Drosophila melanogaster: one gene and its partners. The gene in region 1 interacts genetically with each later gene. Each region holds a gene or a part of one and is shown in the gene's direction. Other genes may lie near its edges.

The links.
Region 2: of puc (region 1) and l(2)gl, changing one suppresses a phenotype caused by changing the other (phenotypic suppression), as found in Drosophila melanogaster (2 studies listed by BioGRID).
Region 3: of puc (region 1) and Jra, changing one suppresses a phenotype caused by changing the other (phenotypic suppression), as found in Drosophila melanogaster (2 studies listed by BioGRID).
Region 4: of puc (region 1) and kay, changing one suppresses a phenotype caused by changing the other (phenotypic suppression), as found in Drosophila melanogaster (3 studies listed by BioGRID).

What each region holds. Positions count from the first base shown.
Region 1 is NT_033777.3:8,103,577-8,108,331, forward strand, and holds the start of puc (puckered), read left to right. Parts: upstream 1-1,755; 5' UTR 1,756-2,284; coding exon 2,285-2,519; intron 2,520-2,911; exon of another isoform or gene 2,912-3,163; intron 3,164-4,655; coding exon 4,656-4,755.
Region 2 is NT_033779.5:18,361-22,997, reverse strand, and holds the start of l(2)gl (lethal (2) giant larvae), read left to right. Parts: upstream 1-1,621; 5' UTR 1,622-1,932; intron 1,933-2,024; 5' UTR 2,025-2,167; intron 2,168-2,977; exon of another isoform or gene 2,978-2,982; 5' UTR 2,983-3,053; coding exon of another isoform or gene 3,054-3,113; 5' UTR 3,114-3,118; intron 3,119-4,427; exon of another isoform or gene 4,428-4,637. Other genes in the region: Ir21a (ionotropic receptor 21a), read left to right, coding at 1-4, 63-255, 311-1,079. UniProt on the Drosophila melanogaster protein: Essential for the development of polarized epithelia, for cell polarity associated with asymmetric cell division of neuroblasts during development, and for oocyte polarity formation.
Region 3 is NT_033778.4:10,094,546-10,099,076, forward strand, and holds Jra (Jun-related antigen), read left to right. Parts: upstream 1-1,934; 5' UTR 1,935-2,051; intron 2,052-2,382; exon of another isoform or gene 2,383-2,459; 5' UTR 2,460-2,593; intron 2,594-2,697; 5' UTR 2,698-2,721; coding exon 2,722-3,591; coding exon of another isoform or gene 3,592-3,840; 3' UTR 3,841-4,011; downstream 4,012-4,531. Other genes in the region: CG2269 (uncharacterized protein), read left to right, coding at 1-89, 151-433, 504-698; RpLP0-like (ribosomal protein LP0-like), read right to left, coding at 4,046-4,531.
Region 4 is NT_033777.3:29,787,282-29,794,627, forward strand, and holds kay (kayak), read left to right. Parts: upstream 1-1,654; 5' UTR 1,655-2,871; coding exon 2,872-3,573; intron 3,574-4,111; coding exon 4,112-4,439; intron 4,440-4,505; coding exon 4,506-5,743; 3' UTR 5,744-6,832; downstream 6,833-7,346. UniProt on the Drosophila melanogaster protein: Developmentally regulated transcription factor AP-1 binds and recognizes the enhancer DNA sequence: 5'-TGA[CG]TCA-3'. May play a role in the function or determination of a particular subset of cells in the developing embryo.

The sequences.
Region 1 (4,755 bases):
ACCAGGTTCCAGCTCCTCAAGGAATCTGTCGAAGGAGTCTTGCCGTAGGGTACACAGCTTGTCCTTGAGTTCCTTGATGGCTCTGTTGAGTGCTGCCTTGTCCCTTGGGTTGCGCGAGAAGAACCAGATTCTCCTGAGGCGCCTTTTTTCCGCTACGAAGGCCGCAATTTCTGGAGACCAGAGGTGAAGGTCTCTACCGGGAGTTCTTGGGGACGTTGAAGGAGGAGGATTGGCAAACTCAGCAGCATTGTACATCTCATCCGTGAGAGTTTTGATTGCCGCATCGATGTTGCTTGGAGTGGAGAGTGGAGGATCCGGGTGCAGGGAGGACAGCATCCAGAGTGTGAACTTGGAGGCATCAGTGTGCTTCCCGGTGAGTCTTCTGGGCAACTCTTTTTTGAGGACGGGGATGTTGAGAAGCATTTTTATAGCGCTGTGGTCGGATATCAGCTTGTTATAGTTGGAGCAAGTTAGTCTGTCTTGCCCTATGCCTTTGGAGATAGCAAAATCCAGGAGGTCGGGCAGCAAGGAAGGGTTTGAAGGCCAGTGGGTAGGCTCACCAGAGGAGTGGCAATCCAGTCTTCTGCTCTGCAGGAATCTGTGGAGCGTTCTGCCTTTGGGGTTGATGGAGCGGGACCCCCACCAGGAGTGTTTGGCGTTGAAGTCACCAGCTGCTATAAAGCGAGGTCCAAAGGACTCAAAAAAATCTTGTAGGTGAGTCTCGGTGATCGAGTGTCTAGGTGGGAAGTAGACCGCTCCAACGGTGATGTCTCCATGTAGGCTGGAGATTCTGGCCAGGGCACACTGGGCCCATTCCTCCTGAAACGCAGGTAGCTCCGTGTACTGGATGCCACTCCTGATGAGCATGGCTGCTCCTCCGCGCGCTCTGCCAGATGGATGGTTGGCAGGGATGACATCGTAGCCGCTAATGCTAAAATGGGATCTGGGACAAAAGTGGGTTTCTGATACCAGTAGTACATCGATGGCATCTGTTTTTAGGAGGTGTTCCACCTCGGCTCTGCTCCTCTGCAGGCCGTTAGCATTCCAAATAACTATTTTTAGGCTTTGCATACTTTTGCGTTGAGGATGGAAGCAACAAGCTGCGTCATTTGCGAGAACATCTTCTCCATCATCCTTTCGACCATTCCTTCGAAGCGAGCAAACATTTGTTCCATGTTACTGGGTTGCGGAGATTCAGGTGGGGTTTGACGGGTTTGGTTGGGATTGGTTTGCTGAGGCACTTGGGTAGACATGAGCGCATCTCTGTAGTGACAAATAAAATGTTTTGACAACGAAGAATTTAAAGAGGTTTATAACGAGCATTGCTATATTCATAAAAATTATAATGAATAAATGGAATTCATCAATATAAACTAACAAAAGGTTTGAGCCCGAGATAAAAGAAAATTAGTATATATACAGCATGTCAAAAGCAATTATACAAAGTCAAATGTCAGCATGTTTCGAAAATAATTAACCTTTAACGTGTAATAAATAAAAAATAAATAAATAAAAATTGTATTATGATCATAGGTCAAAGTATGTAATAGCTTATTTTAACTTCATTTGTCAACAATTGTGGCTATTATATATACTTTAATTTCAAATTCAACCGCAAAGTCTTCAGTGTTGGTGAATTTGGTGAGCGTAGAGTAAAGTTTCAGCTTGTTAGCCTTTTTTAACTGTAGTAGCCTCTGGTCACACTAATCGCGTCTTTATCAAATTCGGTTATCAAATTTGTTTTGCGCCCGTTCATTCGTCTTGCGCTCATTCATTCGGTCATTCATTCGCCTTTTGAATACCGCTTCGAACGGTTGTGTCTACATCTTTGCACAACGAGTTCGAAAAATAACTAAGCTCCGCGCGAAAACAGTAGGAAATTAAAACTAGAATATTTCTGGTAAAAACATTTATCATTGGATACAATAATTTTAACACGAATCGTGAGAAGAGGAAGCAAACAATTAATACTAAAATAAAATATAAAAACGAGATCTACAACCCGCGCGTTTTTCGATTAATGAATTAAAAATAAGTGTGCGTGCTACAAGTGGAAATAAAACTCGATTTCTGGGCCCCCGACTTTTGGTTGCAACACACTTTATAACGGGAAGTGGCTCAACAAGTGGCTCGGGGATTATCTAATAAAGCCCTCCTACCGAAAATCATACTTAAATAATATAGATTATTATACGGGCAGAAAGCAACAAATAAAATATACATATATCAATTTTAAAACAACCAAAGGCCCCCATGTGTATGTGTGTAGTGTGAGCGCGTGCATATGTGTGTGAATCGAGAAACGCAGAGCAGCAGCAACAATAATAGCAACAACACTACAACGGCAACGTCAACAGCACGCAACAACAACAGCCACAACGGACGCTGTGAGTGCGACGGAGACGGCGACAGCGTGAGTCATATACAAAGTGAAATGAAAATGCGGATAAAGCGAGAAGCGCCGTGTCTTCTGTTATTTATGCCAATCCAAAATACCAACAACAACAATCGCATTGGTGGTAAGTACAAAAAGAAGCGAAAAAAAGAATCAAATCAACAGAAATAAGCAATAAGAAAAATCGTACAATTTAAGATTACACTCAAACCAATCAAAAGAGCGGGACAGGGAGAACGTATTAATCCCTCTCTCTTGCTCTCTTGATTTTTACCGCTCGGCATGCTGTTTACTTTTGCTGGGGCGCGAAAGAGAGGGGGAGCACACGTAAGCGTCTCCATTTCATTTCTACAAAAGCAAAAACAAGCAAAAAGAAACGAACTCGAGAGAGATCAGACTCAGAGTCAGTTACTTTTTTTCGCTCCATACGTGACTCACAATTCGCGTGTCTTTCAAAAATAAAAGCAAAAGAAGCGTTTCGATTCGTTTCTGTTGGCTGGATAAATGAAAAAAAAAATCAGTCAGTCCAACAAAATACGAGTACAAATAAAAAAAATAAAACAACAGAAAAAATGTAAAGCAAAGCAGGTTTCTCAAGCGGCCTGGCAACGCTGAAAAACCCGCTTTGAAACGACCTTTCGAGTACGAATTCATCGGCACAACAACAACAGAAGAAGGGAGAAGCGTGCGAAGGAGGAGGCCAAAAGGGGAGCAGAAGGAGAAAAAGCAACAGCCGCGGCAACAACTCAAAACTGAAGTTGGGAGTCGGTAAGAAAGAGCGGAAGAGCAGGAAGGGTTAGTTGCAAGGGCCAGGGGCGAAACTAAAAAGGGGTGCCCTCGTTGAGTCAAAGTTCCAAAACATTTACAGAATAGTTGAAATTTATTAAATATAATATAAGTTGAAGCATTACAATCGCTTTATAAATCACTTAAAATTAATATCATCTTAAAGTGAAAGATTTACTACCTTGTTGCCAAGTTTTTTTTAGACAATAAACAGCGAATTACTAATAACAGTAAACATAATGGCGAATCGCAACCCAAAAGTTGGACAAAATAGTGAACAGAAAGCTGATGCATAGCTCATTTCCAAAAGTAAACAAGCCACTGTATACTAATTAGCACTTTCCTATTTTCTACTCTACTTCACACCACTCCCCCCGTTTCCCACACCATAGGCCCCCTTCGAAACCCACACACTCCAGACCCAGACGCCCCTGGAGGTTTGCAATGCACTATTGGCATGCGATTTTACTTGTTTTACTAGCCGCAAACAACAACAACAGCGACAAAAAAAAAACATAACCAACGTTTCCTGCCGCGGTGAAAAGTTGGTTGTACTTTTTTTGAGGCTGTTGCTTTTTTCTGTGTTGTTTTTTGGCTTTTGAGGTCGCTTGGCTGATAACAGCAATTTTGTACCCCAGTAGTTTGCTCGAAGTTGTTTTGCTTTTCAGCATAAAAGAGACTATACTTTCTGGCAAGGCTGATAAAGTCGATTTGATCAAGTCAGCACAGTCCGAACTCCTAAGACCACTTTGAAAACATAATACAAACTGTAGCATTGGTTATCTTATCAAGTTTTTTCTTTTGACGGACGGCTGAAATGATACCCTTCAATCAAGGAACATGGCTTAAAATTAAAGTTTAGTGTAGGGGGAAAATCGTACTTGAAGTTTTTAAAAACAAATATTTACTACAAGATTAATTTTAATAATATTCGAAGAAATCAGAATGATGCTAAGAACATAAATATACCAGCATTAAAAACCCAAGATTGCCGTACTAAAAAAGTTTTCAACTATTTGTTATTGACAGCTTTTGTTCAGACTTACCTATAAATGAATAATCTGGATTGTGTTTTACTATAATATACTATCAAATTGGTATCGGGCTAGCTTACAAAGCGTTCTCTAATTATGCCTGCTCACTGTGATAAGCGACTTGTGAGCTGCGAGCGAATGTGGAAAACTTTGGCTTTGCATTCGCTCGTAATCAGGCGAAAAAGAAGAAAAAAAAACTCTAGAGCCGAAATAAATGTCTTACGTCAGTTTTGGCAGGCGGCAATCGAAACGAAATATTTTTGCGGTTTTTTTGAACGGGGAACCTGGCGCGACAAGTTTTTCGCACTGCGGTCCATACACGGTCCGTGCTGACATCATGGGTTATAAAATTAAGCAAATCGCTAACCGCCAATTAAAATCAGTTTTTAAATCACCGCATTAATGCGTATTTTCTGGTCTTCGTCTCCTTCCCTCGGCAGCCAATCAGAAGGACTATCCCAACAAGCGGTCCAGGGAGAATCTGGCATGTGACGAAGTGACATCGACGACGTCATCATCAACGGCAATGAACGGCGGCGG
Region 2 (4,637 bases), on another chromosome or scaffold:
CTGAGTAAGAAAAGGTTAGGCTCGCTACATTTGTATATAATATTTGGGCTTCTTACTTAAAGACAATGGTGGCTGGGAGACCTGGTTCCAGAACTCGACCCATATACCGACGTCTAGATTGTACAAGAAAATGGAGTTTGTCGGGTCCGTAGATGAGGGCATTGGCAACGTTACCCAGAGCTTCTTTTGGAACTATGCCTTTCTTGGCTCAAAGGCTCAGCTCGAATACCTGGTGCAGTCAAATTTTTCAGATGAGTAAGATCGATCCTTTATTTTTAATCTTCCCACCGTAAACGATATCCTCTTTTAGAAATATTTCCCGCCGATCGGCGCTTCATTTGAGTGAAGAGTGTTTTGCTCTTTTCCAAATAGGATTTCTGTTTCCCCGAGAGTCAGTGTATAAAATCAAAATCGACTCGATGATATTACTTGCCCAGCAAAGTGGTCTTATTGCAAAAATCAATAACGAGGTAAGCTGGGTCATGCAGCGATCATCTTCAGGACGCCTGCTCCAGGCAAGTTCTTCGAATTCCTTACGCGAAATAATTCAGGAAGAGCGCCAATTGACTACAGCGGACACAGAAGGAATGTTCCTGCTCATGGCACTGGGCTACTTTCTAGGAGCCACAGCCCTGGTATCCGAGATCGTCGGTGGGATTACCAACAAGTGCCGCCAAATAATCAAGCGCTCCCGCAAGTCGGCCGCCTCCTCTTGGTCGTCGGCGTCAAGTGGGTCAATGCTTCGCACTAATGCCGAGCAACTTTCCCATGATAAGCGAAAGGCCAATAGACGCGAGGCTGCTGAGGTTGCTCAAAAAATGAGTTTTGGAATGCGCGAGTTAAATCTTACCCGCGCAACGCTTCGGGAAATATACGGAAGCTACGGGGCACCTGAAACAGATCATGGTCAGCTAGACATCGTCCACACTGAGTTTCCAAACAGTTCTGCAAAATTAAATAATATTGAAGACGAAGAATCTCGGGAAGCTCTTGAATCTCTGCAGCGTTTAGACGAATTTATGGACCAGATGGATAACGACGGCAATCCTTCCTCACATACATTCCGTATTGACAATTAATCACAGAAATTTTTAAATGCAAATACAAAATAATCACTTTAGTGCACATGAAATTATATGTATTGAAATAAAAAGTTTGATGCAACAACAAATTTTACAGTTGTTTGGTATTTTGTATGGGAAAGTTTGTGGCAATATATGGTTTTACTTGAAAGCGGATTGGACATGGTCACACTGCCCACAAATCACAACATTGCGTTATAAATGAAGCACATCTAGTTTTGTGTTAAGAAAGTGGTTCACAATTTATATAGCAGGTTATGGTAAAACATCGATCGTTCCGAAAAATTCCGCTCGTTGGCACATTTTCTAAATTTTTCGTGCGACAGCGGTGATTATTATATGATATTATTATGATTATATATACAAAAATTATTATAATTATATAAAAGTTGGCGACCATATCAAAAAGGTTGCTATAAAAACAAATGGCAATTTATAGCGGAGTTTCACTCCCAAAGCGATGTTCTCCACCCATTCCAGTCAGTCATGGTAAATATACCTTCTAAAAAATATATGATTTTTTCGATAGAGATACACGGGCACACTAGACCCACCGATCGCGACTTTGTGTGTGTTAAAATGACGCGCATATCGTTTTGGGCTAATAATATTGTTCACGTTTTATAAAACAGATACACGGTTAAGCTCTGACCGGTCGTATTATTATCTGTGTGTTCTTGGTTGACACGTTTATTTCATTTATTCTCATTTAAAGCAACGATGTGAAGAACAGTGCGGGCGTTTCTCAACATAAGAATACATACAAACTTATGCGTGATGGTGAGCAAATAAAATAGTTCAAAAAATTACTCGGCCACCGCCTTAACCGTACAAACGGAAATACATAAAGGTAAAGGGCTCAACAACAGTATTACTGATTAGGCAATTGATTTATATTTCAAACTTCTTAAATAAAGTGTCCACAAATATGTATGTTCTTAGCATAGAGGCGTAGTCGGTGAGTCAGCCACGCCAACAGTTAACAGTCGTCATTTTGCTGTCTGTCTAACACGCAATTTGTGTGTGTATATGTGAATAAACAGATACCGGTATGCAATCGCAAAGCTGGTCAACTGTAAAGATCGGTATGTACTCAAAATTAGGTCATCACCTTGTTATGCAGATACATTTGGGAAACAGTTGACTTACTTGGTATTGGTTATCAGCCGAAAAGCAAATGGTGATACGGTTTTGCACCTCAGCTTACTCACGGATACATACCTACGTACATAAATGTATGTATACGGTATACAGTCTTAGAAAAAATATTAGTACCGACCAGCTAGCGTTTGCCTAAAACGCTTTTACAAAAATAAACGTATATGTTTTAAGTTGTTTTTTGTCCTAATTAATACATTTATTATTATTTATTTATGAATTTTAGAGCTTTAATAGTAACTAAATTGTTTAAACAAACTTTAAAAAAGATTTACAAATAAAAAAATATTTCGTGTGCGTGACGGAATTGCTAGTTCATTAAAGGGAGGTACATATGTACATACATACACATTGCAAAGAGTACAGATCGCTCATCATTTCATTTTTCCTAATGTACATATACATATGTACAAACATGTTTATTAAACTGCCTACATGCAAATCTTTGAAGTTTTAAGAAAATAAGCACAACTAGTTTGGAAAATCTTGGGAGCCAAGATCTATCTGTCCACTGATTTTCCTATGACTTCAAGAATGTAAAACCCTTTTTGTTAAACAAATTTTGATTAAAGTATACCAGAATAATATTAAACGTATCGTCCGTATCTATAAAAGGTATTAATAGTATTACCTAAATTTAAATTCTCGGTTTTATTCATAAGAGTGAAAAAATATACAAGTTCCTTTTTAATTTTTTACTTATTGAAAATTTGATTAATTTTTATTATTATTTTCAGTTTAGAATAAATTCGGCCACAATTAATATACTTATTTATTCATCAAAACCAAACCACCACAAGAGCATAACCAATCATGTTAAAGTTTATCAGAGGAAAAGGGCAGCAGCCCAGTGCTGACAGACAACGCTACATCGTAAGGTAAAACAAACAATTTTCTCTTTCCGTTCTATTTTTTTTTTTTTAAGTATTTGTAGCCGATTGGTATATTTTGTGGGGTCATTTATTTTGATCTTGGGTGGTAAATACATTTTTATGGAAGTTAGAAGAAAGCTTATAATTTATGAGGAATAAATAAATACCTCCTTTTGAATCTTTTGTTATGTCTTCTCCTATGTGCATACTTTTGGGCATTAACATTTAGGTAAATTTTTTCCACCGCAACTACAAGTAAACCGCATACACACACAGTATTTTGTAGACTCGCGCCACAAAGCACCGCATAAAAAAGGTTACGGTGCTTTTTTGCTCGTTTCTTTTGTGCACTCCTTCTATGCGGTGCCAAATATGAGGAGGTACCTGAAGCTTGGTTGATTTTGTGAGTGTCTTTTTCCACAGCATATTTTTGTGTATTGGCTACTTTAAAAATTCTATTATATCGTTGTGCTCGTAATGTTGTCCATTCCTTTTAAATATTTTCGAATTAAATATACCATAGATGTTTCCCTATTACCATAATAGTTTAATAAATATACGTATATGAAATTTTTTTTATCCTATGTTAGTATAAACATGTTATTCAACAAATAAAAGTAGGTCAGAGGTAATCGCCATCCAGCTCCAGAAAGAGGGGGGAGCTGATAAGATTGCGTTTATGTACCTAATGGGTTGGGTAAGTGGCTTGGTTTCACAAACACCCTTATTTCAGGTACAAAATAAGTATGTCATAGACGGCGTAAAATTGATAAGATTTTAAAGTCAAAAGAAAATGAGTTTATTCGCCTGTAACTGCGTTAGAAATCCAAATACACCCGCAATATTATATGTATAGAAAGAAAAAGTTTGATGCAACAACAAATTTAAAGTTGTTTGGTATTTTGTAATGGAAAGTTTGTGTCACTAAATATGGTTTTACTTGAACGCAGATTGGACATGGTCACACTGCCCACAAAATCACGACATTGCGTTATAAATGAAGCACATCTAGTTTTGTGTTGAAAATGTGGTTCACAATTTATATAGCAGGTTATGGTAAAACATCGATCGTTCCGAAAAATTCCGCTCGTTGGCACATTTCCTAAATTTTTCGTGCGACAGCGGTGATTAATTACAAAAATTATTATTATAATTATATAAAAGTTGGCGACCATATCAAAAAGGTTGCTATAAAAACAAATGACAATTTATAGCGGAGTTTCACTCCCAAAGCGATGTTCTCCACCCATTCCAGTCAGTCATGGAAAATATACCTTCTAAAAAATATATGATTTTTTCGATAGAGATACACGGGCACACTAGACCCACCGATCGCGACTTTGTGTGTGTTAAAATGACGCGCATATCGTTTTGGGCTAATAATATTGTTCACGTTTTATAAAACAGATACACGGTTAAGCTCTGACCGGTCGTATTATTATCTGTGTGTTCTTGGTTGACACGTTTATTTCATTTATTCTCATTTAAAGCAACGATGTGAAGAACAGTGCGGGCGTTTCTCAAC
Region 3 (4,531 bases), on another chromosome or scaffold:
GAACCGGAATCCGAGGAGAACGCGTTGGACTCCAATTACTGGTTGAACAAAAAGTCGGTGAAGAAGGAGCAGGCAGATCAACTGGCAGAGTAAATGAAAATGCCCTTAAATTTACATTATTTCGATGTGTTTATTTCTCAAATCCTCCAGAGACTCGAGACCACCCAAGGACATGGAAAAGAGGAAGCGCAGTGGTTACTTGCGCTATCCGGAGCAGCCAAATACCATGGAGGAGGCACTCAGCCTGGGCAGCGCTCCCTACGAGACCCTAAACGACGCCTATCTGGGCAACAAGAACTACATTGTGGGCTCCAACCAGTGCCCCATTATCGAGTCCATGGCGGAGCGCTGTCGGGGCGTCGATCTCATCTCCGGAGACATTAACCAGGAGCTCCTGCCCCTCTGCGGTGTTCACCAGATATGCTATCTATGTGTAAGTGAAAACAGGATGCCTGAGTCGAGTATGGTTAACTATAGTTTACCCATTGCATTTCCGTTTCCAGGGTGCCTCACAGGTAGCCTGCGACTATCAGTACTTGGCGGAGGCGGATAGCGTTTGCGGCGACAGCAACGACTGCCAGTCGGCGGCCCGTTCCATCCTGATGATCCTGCGGGGATCACACGGCCGGCAGCTGGGTCCTAGGGAGTGCTTGAAGAATCCCTGCTTGTACAGGGCCATGCGGGAGATTGGGCTTTAAGCGAACTGCTCCGAATTGCCGCCCAGTGTTTTCCTAACGTCTCTTTTGTGTGCGTTTAAAAAGAAAATCATAAATCGAAAATGAAAATGACAACCCCGCAATGCAAAGCAGAGAGAGAGAGAGAGAGAAGATAACAATATGAGCCCAAAAAACCAATATAAAAACCTTGCTGAACTGGCAAAAATCAAACAAACGATTGATTCAAAACCAAATAGTCGTCGCATACAATGACATAATATTTTGATGGATTTTCCTGACCGCCTCGCGAGGCGGCAGCAGCCAACTAGAGTTTACCAGATACCTAAAGAGATGCATATAGATATACATACAATTTGGATTCAGTTAATCGCAGTAGACGCCCGATGCGGCCCGATTTATTTGGTTTAAGTGTTCAGCGTAAAATGGAATTTTTCGAAACATATTTGCACGTTTTATGGGTGTTTAAGTGTACAAACGTGATCATAGACGAAACATAACACACATACATATGCTTAACCAAGACATACAAGTATTTAATCCACAGCCAGCTTTTTAAGTAACTCAACTCGCTTGACATTCTAAGCAAAATGAAAGGCAGAGCTCACATTGGCAGCTAGTCCTCCAAAGTCACCGTCAGAATTCTTCTATTCGGTTTGACTTGGATGTGTGCACATACATACGTGCGTGTGCCATACCATAATACACTATACACATTATACATATATAACGATTTTAGCCTACACCGGGAAAAAAACTATGTATCTTTGCGAACGCCAAATGCAGAGCAACTAACTATAGTATCTGAGACTTCTCTCTCCGCATTACTTGTCTACAGATGAACATATACATTAATGTGTTTCAACGTGCTTACAATAAATGGACATAACTAAGACAAATATTTGAAGCTCTAACAAATCTATAGATGTGATTATTAATATATACAAGGAGTTTAATAAATGTGTAAATCTTTTAGGGCCAGCATATATACCAATCTGAACAACAGCAAGACGTTTGGTTGCGAAATCAAAATATTATTAATGTATTTACATAAACGAACAAATATATATATTTAAACTTGATGTATATGCTACAGTTTGAAAAACAAAACAAAACAGAACAAAAACCCATATTTGAAAATATTTATTGCTATACAGTTATCATAAATGTCGAATATAAATATATCGGGAATATCCCAAAAACGTATGGCCTTTTTTCTCGGATGTTTTCAAATTATTTGCGAATGTTCCGAGTTAAGTGTCATATTTTGTTTCCCCTTTTCAATTGTAACTCGCAAAATCACAAAATCATGAGCATCAGTGTTTTCCTGGAGTTCCTGACATAATGGATCCGTCTGGACAGTTTGTGGTTCCCCAAGTGCGAAAACAATATCTTAACCAGACCGAAAAATATATTTCCTTTCCTATTTACCGACGCCCAGGAGTGATAAAGAGATCTATTGCATCTTCTTTTACTGCCAAACATCAAGAAAATTTCAAGAAAAACATGAAAGACTAGCGACGGCCTTGTTTCCATTCACCTTTCATAATGATTTAGTAAATGTTAAAAAAAACCTATATTGTATTTTATTAACTTAGCTACCGGTAATGGTTTGTGTCACTGCTAAGCTTCTTGCTTGAGTCAATGCTGCCCATTGTTTAAACATCGCATTTAAAGACCAGTATCGATAGCAATATCGAATAAATAATCGACACTTGTACCACCGCTAGCACTCATTCTGAAAACAACCTTGCGCGTAATAAATATTTTCGTAAAATTATTTAGCGAAACCAAAATAAAAATCAAACGATTCGTTGGCCGATAAAACCGGTGATTAAGCAGTGGCAGTGCAGAAAGCAGAAAACACAAAAGTACAGATTGTGCTAATCAAATTTTGCAAGCAAAGTTCCCACCCACTGGTGAGTAAGAAGAAGAGCGAGTTATTCGCATGACTCATCGCGAAACGAGTTTTTATCAGATTGTTTTCATTCCGTTTTCGTCTCTTTCACTTCATCCGAATCAGATTGACGTCATTGCTTGAGCAAACATGAAAACCCCCGTTTCCGCTGCTGCGAACTTAAGTATTCAGAATGCTGGCAGTTCCGGAGCAACTGCCATTCAGATCATACCTAAAACCGAGCCCGTTGGAGAAGAAGGCCCCATGTCACTGGACTTTCAGTCGCCGAACCTGAACACATCCACCCCGAATCCTAACAAGCGTCCCGGCTCGCTGGATCTGAACAGCAAGAGTGCCAAGAACAAGCGCATCTTCGCACCACTGGTCATCAACTCACCGGATCTGTCATCCAAGACGGTAAACACACCCGATTTGGAGAAGATCCTGCTATCCAACAATCTGATGCAAACACCGCAGCCGGGAAAGGTGTTCCCCACCAAGGCGGGGCCCGTCACCGTGGAGCAGTTGGACTTCGGCAGGGGATTCGAGGAGGCCTTACACAATCTTCACACTAACTCCCAGGCATTTCCGTCCGCCAATTCCGCCGCTAATTCCGCCGCCAATAACACAACTGCGGCAGCCATGACAGCGGTGAACAATGGCATCAGCGGAGGCACCTTCACCTACACCAACATGACCGAGGGCTTCTCGGTGATTAAGGACGAGCCCGTCAATCAAGCCAGCTCGCCCACCGTTAATCCCATTGACATGGAAGCGCAGGAGAAGATCAAGCTGGAGCGCAAGAGGCAGCGTAACCGTGTGGCTGCATCCAAGTGCCGCAAGCGCAAGTTGGAGCGCATCTCAAAGCTGGAGGATCGCGTGAAGGTACTTAAGGGCGAGAACGTCGACCTGGCTAGCATCGTGAAGAACCTCAAGGACCATGTGGCGCAGCTGAAGCAGCAGGTGATGGAGCACATTGCCGCGGGCTGCACGGTGCCGCCGAACTCGACAGACCAATAACATTTGGAGTTGTCAGCCGGGGAGAATGATGAGGAGGACGTGGCACTGGAGACTGAAACCCCCTCGAATCCTGAAGATCCCGAGCAACCCATGCCTCTGGAATTCTTTTCAAGTGCTAGCACCGGTGCCTTGGAGCTGGAGGGCTCGGCCTCTCAGGATATTTCCCTAACTAACAGCGAACTCCTGGAGGAGGAGAGCGATAACGAACAGCCTCTGGTGCTCTACATCCTCGCGGACGACGCAACCTGAGGCTTTGTGCCTTTCTTTGGTTTTAGCTGCAATATCTGAAATGCTTCTTAAGTGTTTTGTTTACTTAGTTATTAGTATAAGCTAGTGTTAATCAAGTATTATCTGTGTTGAACGTAAGATAATATGTAATGTACTTTTAAAATATACGTATATTTTCTGCACTTGATATATACATAAAAAAATTATTTCTACGCCTTAAACTTATTTATTCATCATCCTCCTCTTCGTCATCATCGTCGTCGTTGTCATCCATGGCCTCGGCCTCGGCCTCCTCTTCCATTGCGCTATCAGCCTGTTCCTCGTCGTTCACATCATCCTCGACATGCAGCTGGAAGCCTTCGCTTTTTGTCCACGAGCACTTCATGGTCAGCCGAAATTTGGCCATGGGCTTGCCCACCAGCTTGAGGATTCTCGCCTGTTCGGGTGTTAGAACTTTGCCCTCCTCACAAACCGTGTAGTCACTGTACAGCGTAACGATTCCCTTCTCCAATTTGGTGGGCAGGCCCAGGGAACGCAGATGCGGTTCCATAGAGTGGGCGAAGTCCTCTAGGGGACCTGCTGGCAGGGTAACCGTTTCCGTGGCCACAAAGCCACTGCGTGCGTATTCCACGGCCCAGTAGTTTTCTGCCCACTCCAGGACTTCCTCCTTGGATTTGTCCGTGAAAAGCAGTCCCACCTGGCCAGTTAATCG
Region 4 (7,346 bases), about 22 Mb from region 1:
GTCTCGGGCCCGAGAATTTCTTAGCCACTCAACTTGTTGCATCTTCACCTTCCTCCTCTGCCCAGCGTTTAAAAACATGTGAATGTGTTTTTGAACTAATTAGAGCCAAGGTCAAAGTTGATGGTCTAATCAAAATGATAGCGCGGATTTACAGGCAATTGATAAGTTTGAGTTTTCAGGGAATTCCTTTGGGAAGTGGCAATTTTTAGGTTTTGAAATATTTTTGTAAGTTGCAGTCACCATACATTTATTTAGGGGCCACTTTGGTTTGGCTTGAACCGCCCGCAAATCAAATTTGCAGCAGTCGCGTGTATTAGTCAGCAATTTGTTGCTTTTCGCTACGTCAGTGTTTTACTTTTTCTTTTTTTTTTTTACTCTCCACTGCTGGCTGTTCGATGTTCGCTGCTCGTTTCATTTGGTTCATAATTGACCCCCAGATGTGAACTCGGTGTCCGGAGATATGACTCTGTCCAACGTTCCGATAGGAGAATCGAGATCGCCATCCGAGCTGGCTGGCAAGCAATTTAGACAATTCAATTCGCCGCGCTTGATTGCCAGCATTCTATATCATCACTTGTTTTGCATACGTACATTTTCCAAATTGACTGATTCATCATCGGCTAAATGCGGTTCATGTTCGCGAGGGACAAGTTCAAATGGCAAAAAAGTGGGTTAAAACGAAAGTAGCCAGCCAAACAAAGGTGGCCAAACAGCCAAGGCGGCCGAGTTGAAAGTAAATTTCGCATACGAAATTAAAAAGTAAATATATCACAAAGAATAAAATCGATTGTTTGCTGTCAATAAGGGAACGGCCTTTGGGATTGGGAAACACGGCTGCGATAAGATCGTCAAATAAATAAGCACACAAGCCGCTCGAACTCGCTGCACGGAGAGAAAAGAAGGCATACTACTTCAAAAATGTAGCCCCAGTGCAACTGGTATGTGTGTGTGTGTGTGTTGCTCTTAGCCCACAACAAAAGCCAGCAATTAGCGTATTGGCCAACTTGCTGGCGACGGAAATAAACGCTCTTGGCGAGACAGGGGGTCTGAACTGAACTGAACTGAACTGAAAACATAGTTAATGTGGATGTGCCACACGCACACACCTGTTCGTGGGACATCTGTCGAATCGGACATGTGTATATATGTATGTAGCTTATGTTTACTCGGAATCATCGCTTTTGGCCAAAACATTGGGCCTGATTTATGGGCAACTGAAAGGCTTTTCCGTGGAAGCGAAGAATGAGCCTCTGGCAAGTTCGGCAAATCGGAAGCAGAAGCATATACATATGTACATAAGCCACCACCACATTCTACTATAGCTAACTAAATGTACATATTTCGCTTTGAATGCGGCAAAAGCGAGCGTGGTCGTCGTGTGGGCAGCCGCTCAATTAAGAGCAGCCAGCGTTTAGGATCATTTGATTTCCCAGCGGCTGTCTTCTAATTTGAGCAGCCAGCTCGCACAACACACGCCCAGCAGACAGCAGACAGCTCTCCGGATTCGGATGCGGGTTCGGGTTCTCTAGTAGTTCTCAAGATATATAAATATATATATGATATGTATATATATACATATATATGCATACATCTGCGGCGATCTCTCGATCGCGATCGTTGCCAATTTCGCTCGCCGGAGATTCTGATGCGATTCAGTCGCAAACGAACAACGAACCATCGAAGTTTAGAAAATATCTAACAATTAAAAGCGATCGCGCGCGCGCTTTTCCTCGAATCGCATCGCATCGAATCGAAACGCGAAACTCAAACAACGAAACGAAAATAAATTTGGAAAACTGCAATTGTCGTTGGGTTTTCGGTGCGCGTGCATTGCCAAAACGAATCAGGAGCAAAAAAAACGAATCAGTCGGCTATATGTACATATATACATATAGACGCAAAACAACGCACATTTCTCGGCTGCAAGCGCGTGGATCGAAATATATATGCCATACGAATATACATATATATATATATATATATGTAAATATAGCCAAACCCAGAAATAAAAGCGCAAAGGGAGGCATAACACTCGCTGTGTTGAGAGGCGTTGCCCATGGCCGAGGAATTTCTGAATACAACAAATGCAGCATTAATTGAACTAGCTCAAGGCTCCATGTCCGTGTAAATCTCTATAATTATATAATAATCGAATTTGCGGCTCACACAGTGGAGCGACTTAAACTGGACACGTGTCGCTGGATTTTGGGCCTCGCACACTTACGATAAACTGCGTCGATTATGAGCGCTTTCGCCGAGCGGAATGTGCGTTTCAATCCTTTGCGAAATCAGCAAACGCTTATCGTTAAGCGGCTGAGACCGCCGGAGAGCCAAAACTTCAAGAACTGAGCAATCGAACAACGAACATATACGAAATCTGCTCACGGCTCGCAGCTAGCAAGAAGTCAAATCAAACGAACCCTTTTTCTTTATTAGGAAAGAGCCAACGCAGAAAGCAAACGAAATACACAATACACACAAAAAAAAGAAGCTATGAAACAAAGCCAAAAACGAACGAATTTCTAAGCAACTAGAACAACACTGCGACAACAAACAGCATAGGAGCATCCAAACGAACGGAATTATAAAGACAAGAAAGGATCATCAGCACATTGTTAGGAAACTTTGGGAACAGAGTCCCAATTTGTACATATACTCTAGTTTAGCTAGTAACTAGATTCTTAGATTGTTGAATTGTTTTTGTTGATTTTGAATACAATTCGCATATATCATTGTTGTCCCAATTGTTGTGTTAGCTTAGCTAGGCTAAGAACCCCAACGAATACTAGTCAGCCGCCCAACTGTGCGTATACGCAACGCGAGTGCGTATACTTAATATTTAGGTTTAGATCGATAAGCAGCGAACAAATGATGAAAAATCTCAACGGTAGGACGCACAATGCGTGCTACCATCCCTACTACCACCAATCGCTGCATTTTGCTCAGCAGCAGCAGCAGCAGCAGCAGCATCATCTGCAGCAACAGCAGCAACATATGCAGCAGCAGCAGCAGCAACAGCAAGCGCCGCAGCAACAGTTGCGTCATCAGCAACGGCAACTGCCCACGCAGCCAGCCTACCAGCAATCGCAATCGGTTGCCCACAATGCTTTTCCACTGCGCAGCAGCAGCAACAATTATGGCCATGTTGCTAGCAGCGCCTACGCTGCCAGCAGCGGCAGTCACAACAGCAACAATGCGGCTGCCATGGCCGCCGTCTGCCAAATGCAGAATTTTTTCAACCAGCAACAGCAGCAGCAGCAGCAACTGGAGTTCAACAACAATTGCATGCCCATTAATTACTACCAGCAGCAGCAGCAGCAACATTACCCTTCCGAGTCCCAGTCCTCCGCCTCCGGCTGGAATCCCGAAACCCCTGGGCAGGCGCAACTCGCCTTGACGGCCACAACATGCAACACCACTGCAGCTGCAACATGCAACACCACTGCAGCTGCAACAACGAGCACAACTGCAACATCTGCTGCCGCTGGCAGCGACAACAACCACAGCGACAACTTTGCAATGGACGCCAGTGAGATAGCCACTTTCCTCGCCAACGAGCTTTTCCTACAGCAGGTACCACAGATCGATCGATGATGATGCCTCCGATTCTGGTCGAGATTGGGATAGATTTGGGCGCGAAACAATTGGCAAGCGGCATGCGTACTTAATCATCGCCGAAAATAGAACAAATGCGGAACAACAAAGGGGTGGGCAAATATAAACAAAGTGATGGATTGGCCGCCTCTCTTTCGGTTTCTTCATCTCTCTTCGCCTCTTTTTTTTTCGTTTTTTGTTTGGCCAAAAACACGTTCGCTAATTCGCTAGAAATGTACGGATAAGCAAGAGGTCTTACAGACTTAGCAATAGCTTTTGATGTTGACTGATATCTGAACTCGACCCAAATTACTCATGTGATAAGAATAAATTCCCAAACATCCTTAAGCTATTCGCGGGCAACACTGCGTATGCGTGATATATGTATACTGATATGGCATTGTAGAGGGTTTCGTGCTTGTCATGAGCTTTAATGAGCGTTAATAGTAATCCATCTTCTCAGATACTTGCACTCATAGATGTCTTTACTAATCATGCACCTTTTCTGCTCTTGCAGCTCGGCAACTTTGAGACCGGCCAGAGTGTTCTCACACTGACGACGCCCACGTTGACGCCGACCACCACGCGCAACATCGAGGACACACTGGGCCACTTGCTCTCGGACACGCAGACCGATCGTGTGGCTGGTTGCGCGGGATTTGCAGTGCCAAAGGTGCTACCCAATGCCATTGATGTCCTGGGCATGGGTATTCCCACCGGTGTTTCGTCGCTCCCACTTCAGCAGACATTCGATTTGAGCCTGGGGCAGGGCAGCGAGTCCGAGGACTCCAACGCTTCGTACAACGATACGCAGATGAACGAGGAGCAGGACACGACCGATACTTGTAAGTGAAGCTGGCACGAATTGCTCCGAATGTCTACTAACTCCCTTTTATTTCATACGCCTGCAGCAAGTGCCCATACGGACAGCACCTCGTACCAAGCTGGCCACATCATGGCGGGCAGCGTGAACGGCGGCGGTGTCAACAACTTCTCCAATGTCCTGGCCGCCGTGAGCTCTAGCCGCGGATCGGCGTCGGTGGGCAGCAGCAACGCGAATACCTCAAATACGCCGGCTCGTCGTGGCGGTGGCAGACGCCCCAACCGGTCGACGAACATGACCCCGGAGGAGGAGCAGAAGCGGGCCGTGCGCCGGGAGCGGAACAAACAGGCGGCGGCCCGTTGCCGCAAGAGGCGCGTGGACCAGACCAACGAGCTCACCGAGGAGGTGGAGCAGCTGGAGAAGCGGGGCGAGAGCATGCGCAAGGAGATCGAGGTGCTGACGAATAGCAAGAATCAGCTGGAGTACCTTCTGGCCACCCACCGGGCCACCTGCCAAAAGATTCGCTCCGACATGCTGAGCGTGGTCACCTGCAACGGTCTGATTGCCCCGGCCGGACTCCTGAGTGCAGGGAGCAGCGGCAGCGGCGCGAGCAGCCATCACAACCACAACAGCAACGACAGCAGCAACGGCACGATTACGGGCATGGACGCCACGCTGAACTCCACCGGGAGGAGCAATTCACCCTTGGATCTCAAGCCGGCGGCGAACATCGATAGCCTGCTGATGCACATCAAGGACGAGCCACTCGATGGCGCCATCGACTCAGGATCCAGCCTGGACCAGGACGGTCCGCCGCCCAGCAAGCGCATCACCTTGCCGCCCATGTCCACGATGCCGCACGTTCACTTGTCCACGATATTAACGCCCACCGGCGCCTCGTCGGGATCTCTGCAGACGCCGATCACGAGCACGGCGCCCGGCGGATTCGGCAGCGCCTTCCCGGTGACCTCCAACGGCAGCAGCATCAACAACATCAACAGCATCGGCAACAACATGAACTCTCCCACGCTGAATGCGCATAACAAGGTGCCTAAGGAGCGGCCCAATACGCTGGCTTTCCAGCGTCCTCTGGGCCAGATGCACCTCACCATGGCCAACAACAAGGCGGGTGGGCCCACGCAGATCCAGGGCGTGCCCATCCAGACGCCCTCGACCGGCACCTTCAACTTCGACTCCCTGATGGACGGCGGCACTGGGCTAACGCCCGTCTCCGGACCCCTCGTACCGAACAGCTCCTCCACGAACAAGCACCCGCTGGAGCTGCCCACGCCCACCGCCGAGCCGTCCAAGCTGGTCAGCTTATAACCGGACCGGATCTGGGACGGGGATGGGGGCCGAGTCAGGATTAAGTTAAGTTTTATATAGTTGGCAGGCAAACAACGGAAGGAAACCGCGAAGCACTTTTCTAGTTGTAGGAGATGTTTTCATTTTTGTAATATGCTGTAATATGCGTAAACGTGACGAATGTGTTGTTTCGTTAACTCTAATGTTTTTGTATTATTATCTTTATTATGGTTAATTTATGATTTCGCTATGTCTTTTACATACGCCGAGGAGCTATGTACATATGTTATGTACTTGTAATTTGTGCAATTTTCAAACCTCTTCATTGCGCGTTGTATATTTTCAAAAAATATAAGAACGCGAACGCGAACGCGAACGACCGACGATGCATGATGAGAATGATAAGGATAATGATGATAATAGGGCGTGTAGATTTGCAGGATGCGTTGTGATATTTATTATAAAACGAATACAAAAGATGCGAGGATGAAACAAAGTAGAAAGCAAACAGGAGCGTCTAATGAAAGGAACTAAGCCGGTTTTAAAATTGTACATTTAAACGAATCGTAAAGCGTAAATATACTATAAAACAAAACAAAGTGAATATATATTCAGCATACAAACTAAATACAATGCCTTGAGAGAGAATTAAGAAATGCAAACCTTTATATATAGAGATCTACATACATATATGTATGCATGTACATTTAAAGCTAAACAATAATGGCGTTGAAGCGAGTTTTATATTGAGCAAAAGCAAATGTGAAATGAGATAAATATACTTATTGTGTACTCTGTAAGCTGCAGTAGAAACCAAAATATATTTTTACTAAACGCAACATTGCGCTATTTTCAAATACCATTTATAAGAAATGACAAAAGCAAAGCAATTATTTAATATGTAATTATGTATTATGTATACCTATATCTACCTACCCACAACCTTAAATCAAAAAACCCAAAACGATTCAACAAAAGCTGATCAGGTAAAGCAACTCTCGCCAGTTTCCACACTAAATTCTCAGAATATTCAAAATTTTAATCTATACAAAACCAAACCGATTGATAGCAAATAAATGCACTTATAAGGGCAGAAAAACACCAAAATTTAAAAATGAAATGGAATAAAATAGAAATAAAAAGACCGACAAAACCTAAAGACGATTTGTGGAATTATTTCTGAAGTTATAGCGATTCACATGACTTGCAAATGGGCTGGCTCGTCGTCAGGTAAACATATCAGGTAGATTAGGGTGGACCAACAAAGGCTGCATTCTCAATTTCTGCAGACTTCTTCAAGCGATTTGAAGTACTTACTTATGGAAGTAAACCTCATTGAGAAAATGGCTCTAATGTGAAAATGCGATCATTCAAGTTATGAAAACATTATGAGATAGAAACACCTAGTTGCTGCCATAAAGACCAGTCTGAAGGGCAGGTAAACGCAGCCGTGTTCTTCCACTCGTCTGATAATGGCACAAACGAGTATATATGTACATACAACACACGCTGCATATATTCATTTTCGGGTTTGCCTTATTTTGCATTTTTTTTTGTTTTTTTTGGGATCTGTTGCTTTCGGTGCAGCCACGAATCGCGGATCTCTGTTTCAGTTACTCGAGAA